2 linked regions of the Nothobranchius furzeri genome follow. Each later gene encodes a partner of the first gene's protein in a complex. Links are inferred from orthologs where the notes say so. Each region holds a gene or a part of one and is shown on either strand. Other genes may lie near its edges. The genes, in order: eif3d and eif3f.

The links.
Region 2: eif3d (region 1) and eif3f share a complex: the UniProt entries of both Homo sapiens proteins name them as parts of the eukaryotic translation initiation factor 3 (eIF-3) complex. The link is inferred for Nothobranchius furzeri from reciprocal best matches to the Homo sapiens genes EIF3D and EIF3F.

What each region holds. Positions count from the first base shown.
Region 1 is NC_091745.1:29,238,805-29,243,372, forward strand, and holds the start of eif3d (eukaryotic translation initiation factor 3 subunit D), read left to right. Parts: upstream 1-1,585; 5' UTR 1,586-1,728; intron 1,729-2,910; 5' UTR 2,911-2,913; coding exon 2,914-3,036; intron 3,037-3,118; coding exon 3,119-3,164; intron 3,165-3,249; coding exon 3,250-3,386; intron 3,387-3,475; coding exon 3,476-3,561; intron 3,562-3,639; coding exon 3,640-3,712; intron 3,713-4,381; coding exon 4,382-4,503; intron 4,504-4,568. UniProt on the Homo sapiens protein: mRNA cap-binding component of the eukaryotic translation initiation factor 3 (eIF-3) complex, a complex required for several steps in the initiation of protein synthesis of a specialized repertoire of mRNAs.
Region 2 is NC_091751.1:40,239,523-40,244,107, forward strand, and holds the start of eif3f (eukaryotic translation initiation factor 3 subunit F), read left to right. Parts: upstream 1-1,731; 5' UTR 1,732-1,777; coding exon 1,778-1,889; intron 1,890-2,103; coding exon 2,104-2,174; intron 2,175-4,585. UniProt on the Homo sapiens protein: Component of the eukaryotic translation initiation factor 3 (eIF-3) complex, which is required for several steps in the initiation of protein synthesis.

The sequences.
Region 1 (4,568 bases):
TAATTAAAAATATATGATTTACATGAAAGTCAATGGCACAAAAAATGCTTCAATGTGCTTAACTGTACAAAATGATTTCCACGTTTTAATAAAGTAGATTGAATATTTTTTCAAACTTTTTTGTAATTCCTTCCAAAATACACATCCTCCATAAAAATTAGATAAATTGCATTAACATAGCCAAAGTTATTCACAAAAATACACGTGTCAGCACAAAAAAATGCTCTAATGTGAGGTAAGGGATATATATATATATATATATATATATATATATATATATATATATATGAGGATGGAAAAATTATTGAGATGGGCACATGACGTGTCAAGGGGTCTTTACATAACACCCCCCACCCCAAATCCGCACAAGCCTGCTGTGTCCCCCCCACTTCTGAAATCAAAATTTCGTCCCTGCACGGGGGGACCTGGTGAATGACCTGCAGAGAGCTGGGACCACAGTAACAAAGGTCACCATCAGTAACACACTACAACGGCAGGGAATCGAATCCTGCAGTGCCAGCCGTGTTCCGCTGCTGAAGCCAGTGCATGTTCAGGCCCGTCTGAAGTTTGCCAGAGAGCACATGGATGATACAGCAGAGGATTGGGAGAATGTCATGTGGTCAGATGAAACCAAAGTAGAACTTTTTGGTATAAACTCAACTCGTCGTGTTTGGAGGAAGAAGAATACTGAGTTGCATCCCAAGAACACCATACCTACTGTGAAGCATGGGGGTGGGAACATCATGCTTTGGGGCTGTTTTTCTGCTAAGGGGACAGGACGACTGATCCGTGTTAAGAACAAAATGAATGGGGCCATGGTAGCAGCTTCAGTGACAGACTGATCCATCCTCGCAGTGTGAAGGAGAGATGCTGCAGGTCTTTCCTTCCGGCCACTGTTAGACTCTATAATGGTCATTGCTAACATGGAACCCATACATCTGTAACATTCCACTACAAATATCATCACCAACATGTGCAATATTGCTATTACTGTTGTTATTATGTGCAATAATTACCTTGGCTATCTTAATTTACAAATATGCTCTTGTATATAGATGTGCTACTGCTGCTATCCTCCTTAAACTGTTGCAATAATGCAGTTTCCCCACTCAGGGACTGAAAAAGGTATTTTTGTTCTTATTGTTCTTGAAAGAAATTGCTAGAAAACATCTGATTTTTGGTCATGTCTGCACTTTGGTGCACAACTGGAAAGGCTGTGTGTGTGTGTGTGTGTGTGTGTGTGTGTGTGTGTGTGTGTGTGTGTGTGTGTGTGTGTGTGTGTGTGTGTGTGTGTGTGTGTGTCTGCATACCTCTCCGAAAGTACGTAGTTGCACCCTAGTAGACCTCACTTCTAGCCTAGTGAACCGCAAACATATATATCAGTGAAACCGACCAAACACGTCTTTGCAAGTTATAGAGACAAAATGTACAAACGGTTTTGATAAACATGACTAAATTTGTGTTCGGTAGTTTTAAAGGGCAATAAAGCAGAAATTGATGTGATAAACCATAGATATGTGTATAAACCATAGACATAGACACATCATGAGGATATGTCTGCGATATTAACGCTTGAAATTACGACAGTTGCGCTAGAAATACGGCAGAAGCCTCTTTCCGCTCTTTTTACGGTGCGTCACTTCCTCTCACGCCGGCATTCCGTCGGGTTTTACATCGGTGTAAAACCATCTGGGTGTAAAGACTCGATAAAGAGTCACATTATTCTCGGTAAGTTTCCACCAAAGTTTGCTCAGATGAGAGAGGAGTATCAGCGCTTGTTGGCGCTGGGAAACATCTCTCAGAGAAAAATGACAGTTTGCAAAAAGCCGGCTAGTTAGCTTAGCTTAGCTTTGTTAGCGGGCCCACCCGACAGGATGAGCCGCCCTAGCTAAGGCCGTCATCAGATAAAATATTTACAAAGAACACCCGTAACTTTGACATTAAATTAAGTGGAAGAGATTTTATTTCTCACTACTGAACACGGATTCATGCACGTTTGGAGTAAAACGCATTTGGCTGCAACGCATAAACAATAGTTAAATCTGTACAATACTATTCAGCCCAAGACCTGAAGAACACCGTTTAAGAAATAAAGATTTAAAGCAGTTTACTTTTTTTACTTTATCACATCAATTTATGCTTTATTGCCCCTTTTTAATACTGATAATAATTAAGTGTAAATGAATAACTAGGTCTCCGACCACCTGGAAATACAATTGGGCGTTTAACTCAAACCATAAGGACTACATTGCCATCCTCCTTTCCACTTCGGGTTTTCTATTCTAAATCCGTGGACTGGTGTCCTGTGGTTCCACATTTTTGGTTTGGCTTTCCTTGGTTGTTCATTTTCATTGTTTTTATGACCTATGTGACTGTCTCTGCCTGTGTTGGTGCAGCGCTGTGGTCGGTTATAATGCTGCGTTAAAAGCGCTCTAAAACTAAAGTGGTATGGTAAATATATTAGAAATGTGTCTGTTACGCCTGTCTCAGAATAATTCAACCAGTAAAAATAAATTAACATGACTGACTGGGTTTATTTTATAGACGAATGCTTGTTTGCATGGTCACTAGGTGGTATTTTAGAGTCTCTATAAGTGAAGCCAACAGTTGGCTGTTCTTGGACCATTTCAGAAATCAGCAGACAGTGTTTTAAACCAGTGATGTCAGCTTTTCCTTTTTATGGCTTTCTCTATTTTCTGTAAAATGTTTACCAGTTGAACGATCTGTGTTAATGACTGGGTTGGTGATGATTAGCCCACTGCGCAATCTGATCAGTGCCCATGTGTTTGAGAGCACTGCTGGAGAGATCAGAGCTGCTGTTGCTGAGACCCGTTGACGCTCCGCTGTGCTTTAACCAGAATCAAAACGCAGCATCGCTGAAGTCCGGTCTGTGTTCTGCTTCGATCTCAGGTCATGGCAAAGTTTCACGCCCCCGTGATCCAGGACAACCCGTCTGGATGGGGTCCGTGTGCAGTCCCGGAGAAGTTCAAAGATATGCCCTACCAGCCTTTCAGCAAAGGAGACAGACTGGGAAAGGTCTGCCCTCACCGGAGCTCCTCTAGCAGAACCAGAACCAGAAGCAGGTTGTGTTTGATTCTTACTGTGTTTGGTCTGACAGGTTGCTGACTGGACTGGAGCTACTTACCAAGACAAGAGATACACGAGTGAGTGAGATGGTTTAAATTCTTTATCTACGTATATGTTTTAATGTTAAACATTTGAATTATTTTTGTCTTTTTTGCTTTTCAGATAAATATTCCTCTCAGTTTGGAGGTGGGAGTCAGTATGCCTACTTCCATGAGGAAGATGAGACCAGCTTCCAGCTTGTGGACACTGCTAAGACCCAGAAGACGGCGTACCAGAGGAACCGCATGCGGTTTGCTCAGGTAGAGCATATTGTTGCAAAACAGTTTAGTCCTGATGAGACTATTGAGCTTCATGTAGGTCAGCAACAGACGTGGCTTTGTTTCCACAGAGGAACCTTCGCAGGGACAAGGACCGTAGGAACTTGACTCAGTTCAACATGCAGACACTTCCTAAGAGTGCCAAGCAGAAGGAGAGGTGAGATCATTACTCTGAGCTCCACTGGAAAGATCCAAGCTGAACAATGAGCTTTACCTCACTCTTTCGCCTTTTCAGAGATCGTTTGCGTCTGCAGAAGAAGTTCCAGAAGCAGTTTGGTGTCCGTCAGAAGTGGGATCAAAAATCTCAGGTGTCGATTATTTAATTTCTATTGTTTCCCTTTTAGAGCAGCAGAAATCAAATCATATTCACCAATAAAAAAACACATTCTTGGTTTATTTTTAAAGGTGCGGTTCATTGTTTAGTCGGTGCATCTGCAGTGGTCTCTAGTAGGAAGGGATACCTTGTAAGTCGTACTCTGTGGGTGCATCGGGCAGAGTGATATTTGTCCTTAGGAAAACCGATTTAAAGTCGGGCACATCCTTGGGCAGCCAGGTGCTGTAGCAGAATTTAATTTAAATGTATTTTTATGTTCATTGTTAAATACTCTAAATAAACTTTATTTATGTGTCTAATTTTAACGGAGTGCACAACGTTAAAATTTAGAAGTTGGTTCAAAAACCGATTCAACTTCAGAAATTTAGTGCATTAACTGATGTTGTTAGTGACATTTTAGCATGACCAAGAAGTGGAAAAACATCTGGATTTGGCCGTAAAAGTCACATCGGCTATCTCCTACGTGTCGGCGTCGACTTTAGCTGTGTGCGTCGGCAATAGAGAAACCAGTAGAGGTTGACCTCTATTTTCTGCTTCAGTCTGAGGATTCATGATCACAGATGAATGATTCTGAAGTATTTGGGTCTGTTTGAAGCCGTTGTGATGGTCTTTGGTGAATTTGTGTGTTTGTGCTGCTTCTCAGGCCCAGCTGAAGCCCAGAGACTCCTCTGTGGAGGTGAGGAGTGACTGGGAGGTGAAGGAGGAGATGGACTTCCCCAGACTGATGAAGATGCGATACATGGAGGTTTCTGACCCTGTTGACATGTAGGTGAAGCTTGTCTGGTCTGGTCTGGTTTGTGTTTGGGTTGAATCTGTACATCTGTAAAGTT
Region 2 (4,585 bases), on another chromosome or scaffold:
CAACCATATGGCAGAAGCTCCCCCAGGCTTGTGTTATTTGTGGAGATAAAACATCCATGTCTCAGAGCAAACAAAGTCAGAGGTAGAGTCACAGTTCTGTCATCCAATCTGAGGCCAGATGTCCAAATATTATGAAATATGAGCCCAAATCCTGCCATGTTGAGCTCTCCTCTAGGCAGACTTGCCCATGCTGATCCAGGCGTTTCTGGGCTTTCTTTGCCCAGAGTAAAGCTTGCAAGGCACTCATTCCTACCAGTTGCTTAAATGAGTTTCCCACGCCTTTAGGGTTTATGGAATTGTTGACTAAAATTGTCTTTTCTGCAATAACACACAGCACAAACTTGATTTATTATACAGCGTAAGAGAAATTATTATGTTGTTCATTTATTGTTAGTTAATGTGTGTTTTTATGAAACACAAGGACAGAATAAATCTCTCCTTTGAGAGGCAACCTAATCCTGGAGAGCAGCTGCACATTAGAGCCACTTTAATTATGCTAGTTTCACAAAAAGCTTTGGGCTCTGTGTGTGTGTGTGTGTGTGTGTGTGTGTGTGTGTGTGTGTGTGTGTGTGTGTGTGTGTGTGTGTGTGTGTGTGTGTGTGTGTGTGTGTGTGTGTGTGTGTGTGTGTGTGTGTGTGTGAGCATGCACTTGATGTTAAATGTGTTGGATTTATTCTGTGAGCCTGCTGAGATTTCTTACATAAGTCCCATAGAGGACTCAGAGTTAAACATGCAGTGAGGCATGGTGTTCCTGAATCATTTGCACAGTAAAATGGAGTCCAGGTCCTCCACAGACCTAGATGTTGTGCGTCCATGCAGGAGGAGAGATAGATCAAGATGACGCATCACCCCTGATGGATGGATCAGAAATAGCCTCTTGACAGTGTCAATGAGTCAGCCACAATGCAACAGAAACCAAACGATCCAGAGAGCGGATTCGTGCCAAAACCAGCAGAGAATGAATAAAAACCTACCCGCTCAGTGTGGAAACTTCTGGCATTGATCGAGCTGATGTTTTATCCTATGAACAACCATCTGGTCCATGAACGAACCGGTGCTGGCAACCTTGATTCGGTGACTCCCATTTCTGCTCTTTATAGCTACCAGCGAGCCGGTCCGGGAAACCGACCCGGAGAAGGGGAAGAAAGCGCCTCGAAAACGATCGCTCAATAATCGCAGTAAATAAAAACGTCATCCGGTGAGAAAACACACATTTTAACTTCAACGACTGCGCAGAGGCGTCTGTAAAACATGTGCCAGGATGTGCGAAATGGTGGCAACAGGATGAGCCGGCAGCGCGAAAAGCTCCATCATCTCATCTGTGCGTCTCATGGAGTCGGCAGGTGTGCAGCCTCTGAGCGGCGGAGGACGCTGTCATCATCAGTCCAGCCCCTGTAACCCTTCCTCGCTCAGGCTCATCTCATCTCTACAACAGAAGGGGGACGGTCTTCCTCCACCCACCTGCTGACCCCACAGCAACTGCAGTTTTTGCATTTAATCATAAATGTGTGACATTTAGCTTTAATTAAATAAACAGTTGCATTTGTTGTTTTGTGTGCGTTTATTGTTGCAAAACTATACAAGTTACGCCCTAAACCATGAAAAATCAAAAAGAGTATGTTCTATTTGCTTTCAGAAACAGGTGTTTACCTGTTGGGTCGTCACTGTTGACGAGTTGTTTATTAGCGTAGGATTCAATAGCTGCAGTTTGCCCGCCCGCCTCTAGGTGGCGGTGTATGTTGTCGCTGTGGACGGTGGTACGTCCTCTTTCTCCAAGATGTCGGTGTTCGGGCCAGTGGTGAAAATTCATCCCGTCGTTCTTGCTTCTATCTCTGACTCTTACGAGCGTCGGAATGAGGGGGCAAGTCGAGTGATCGGAACTCTCTTGGGTAAGCAGAAACCTGAAATATCTGTCCAGCCGGGGGAGGAGACTTAATTTTCCTAGCTAAAATGCTATAGCTAACTCCTCAGCTAATCTGCTAGCGCACGTTGGCTCGGTTCAGTGTTGAATCAAACCGCATCTGGTAACCGCTGGAGCTGAACGTAAATGCTGATTCACCAGGAAACCCAACGAGACACTCATTTCTATCTGGTGTGTTCTAGGTACTATTGACAAGCACTCTATTGAGGTGACCAACTGCTTCTCTGTCCCTCACAACGAGTCCGAAGATGAGGTGAGCTACAAAAAGCACGAATTCATTGTATTCTAGTCTTGATTGTCACAGGCTGCATTGGGACCCTGTATTTCTGCTGCTAGCTGGCAGTTTGCATCGATCACTGGGATTGTAACAGAAAAACGGAAGTGTGTTACAGGAGTTGAGCCAAATAATGGATTGTTGATACTACCACATTCATTGTTTATCGTTTACAGCTCATATTCGGTAAAATAACTTGACAGCCAAAATTAAAATGGTTAAAGATTTATATTTTTACTTGAAGCTGATTAAGTGGGCAAGTAGTAGCAGTGCATAATAATGTAATCCCACCATCTCCAACTGAACCTCTCTAAAACTGAACTACTTGTCATCCCAGCAAAACCATCCATACAGCACAATATCTCAATCCAAAATGACTTCCTATCTCTGGCTCCTTCAAAGGCAGTTCGAAATCTGGGTGTTGAGATTGATGAACACCTGACCTTTAAAGATCATGTTACCTCTGTTGCTCGTTCATGCCGCTTGGCGCTGTATAACATAAGAAAGATCAGACCATACCTAACACAACATGCCACCCAGCTCCTGGTGCAATCTACTGTCATCTCCCACCTCGATTACTGCAATGCCCTTCTAACTGGTCTTCCAGTCTGTACTGTGAGACCTCTTCAAATGGTCTAGAACGCAACGGCACATCTGGTCTTCAATCAGCCAAAAAGAGCACACTCGCCTACCAAGCACTACAAGAACGGGCTTCTTTTTCAACTTTCAAGAAACTCCTGAAGACCCTGCTCTTCAGAGAGCATCTTCTAAACTAGCACCTTCCCTGCACCCGTCCTCCTCTCTCCTGTCCACTCCGTGTTCCCTCCTCTCCGTGATTCATCATGCAGCCTCACTGCCACCTACGACTGACTGAAAATTGTTTGTTGTTGTTAGCCTCAAGGGCAACATGCCGATTATAACTTGTAAGTCGCTTTGGACAAAAGTGTCTGCTAAATACATAAACATAAACAAATTACCTAGTTTAAATGTTAGGTTTTAGTAGAAATTACTGTAATAACTAAGTGACACAAGGTGTTTTTCAAACTTCTGGAAATGCTGAAAGAATGATCTTTATCTGTATGAGTATTTGCATTATTCCCATGAAATGTCAAGTGTACATAAGTTTTTAGTTTTGAGAATAATCTTTATTTCAACTGTTTTAAGAACGGTGAAAAACACCTTATCTTCTCAATGAATGCATAAAAACATTAAAGTATTTTCTGTCAATTTACACACATTCAAGGTTGTGGGAAAAATTCTTCAGAATAAATGTTGCCCATTTTGGTATAAAGTGATATACAGCCATCTAGTAATAAATATGCATAAATGTTACTGCATATTTTATTGTTTTGATGTGGGCTAGTGTATCTGATATAAAAGTAACATTAGAATATATTTAGTTAACTGGTGGGATGTTTACATACGTAGGTGATCCAGATAAGGAGGTAATATCACCATGTGTGTAGATCAGTGGTCCGCAAATGGCGGCCCGCGGGCCACGTCCGGCCGGCGAGCCCTCTCTTTGTGGCCCCCAAACCCCCACCCGCGATGGCCGACCGGGAGGTGTAGCATAGATAGAGCTGAGGAAAATACTCATAATCAATGCATGAGATGCGGGCATAAACTATTTCTGCGTCATAGAAGAGTACCTTAATCAATTATAGTGGAATGTGGTTTTGTTATTTTAACGGCGGCACCAGCATCCAAATCTGTCAAAGTGGGTGTTCTCCACATTTACCGGGTAGGAAACTTTGGTCCGCCTTTATGTGGTACTGCAGGGCTGAGTGCTGGAGTTGTAACCTGAGACCGAACCGAATCAGCCCAATTGGTTCTGTTGGATTTGGGCCGTGAATTATGTTAATTGAGCGGGTTGTCGCACGGCGCACTCTGCTCGCTCAATCGGCGACTGAGATGAGGGGGTCGGAGGACACTCCTCCAAACACGCATTATTATTTTCATAATTTCATTATTATTTCTCTTCGAAGCGCTCAGTCAGTGTTGTGATGTCGAGAGATCTGGCCTTGGGGAGGGAGCGGGGTGAGTGACGGCGGCTGCAGCGTGATCATCTGTCTCTTTTATTTAGGGACACGGAGAAGTTAAAAGGAGAGAGAAATAGAAGATAGAAGTTATTGTTCCACTTTATTCTTTTGTTTAATGATGATAAACTGATGTTAAATTCAGCTTAAAGAGAAACTGGGAGGAGGCTTTGGTTCATTTTAAGTTACGGGAGATCTTGTATGATCTGCTCCTCCAGAGACGGCATGGACATGAGGGTTACATGGTGAGGGTCCCACAGGACAGGTTAGTGCAGTCACACAGCTGAGCTGGAGAGGGACAGGTGTTCTTAAAGTTAAAGTCCCATTAGTTGTCACACACACAGGTGTGTGTGC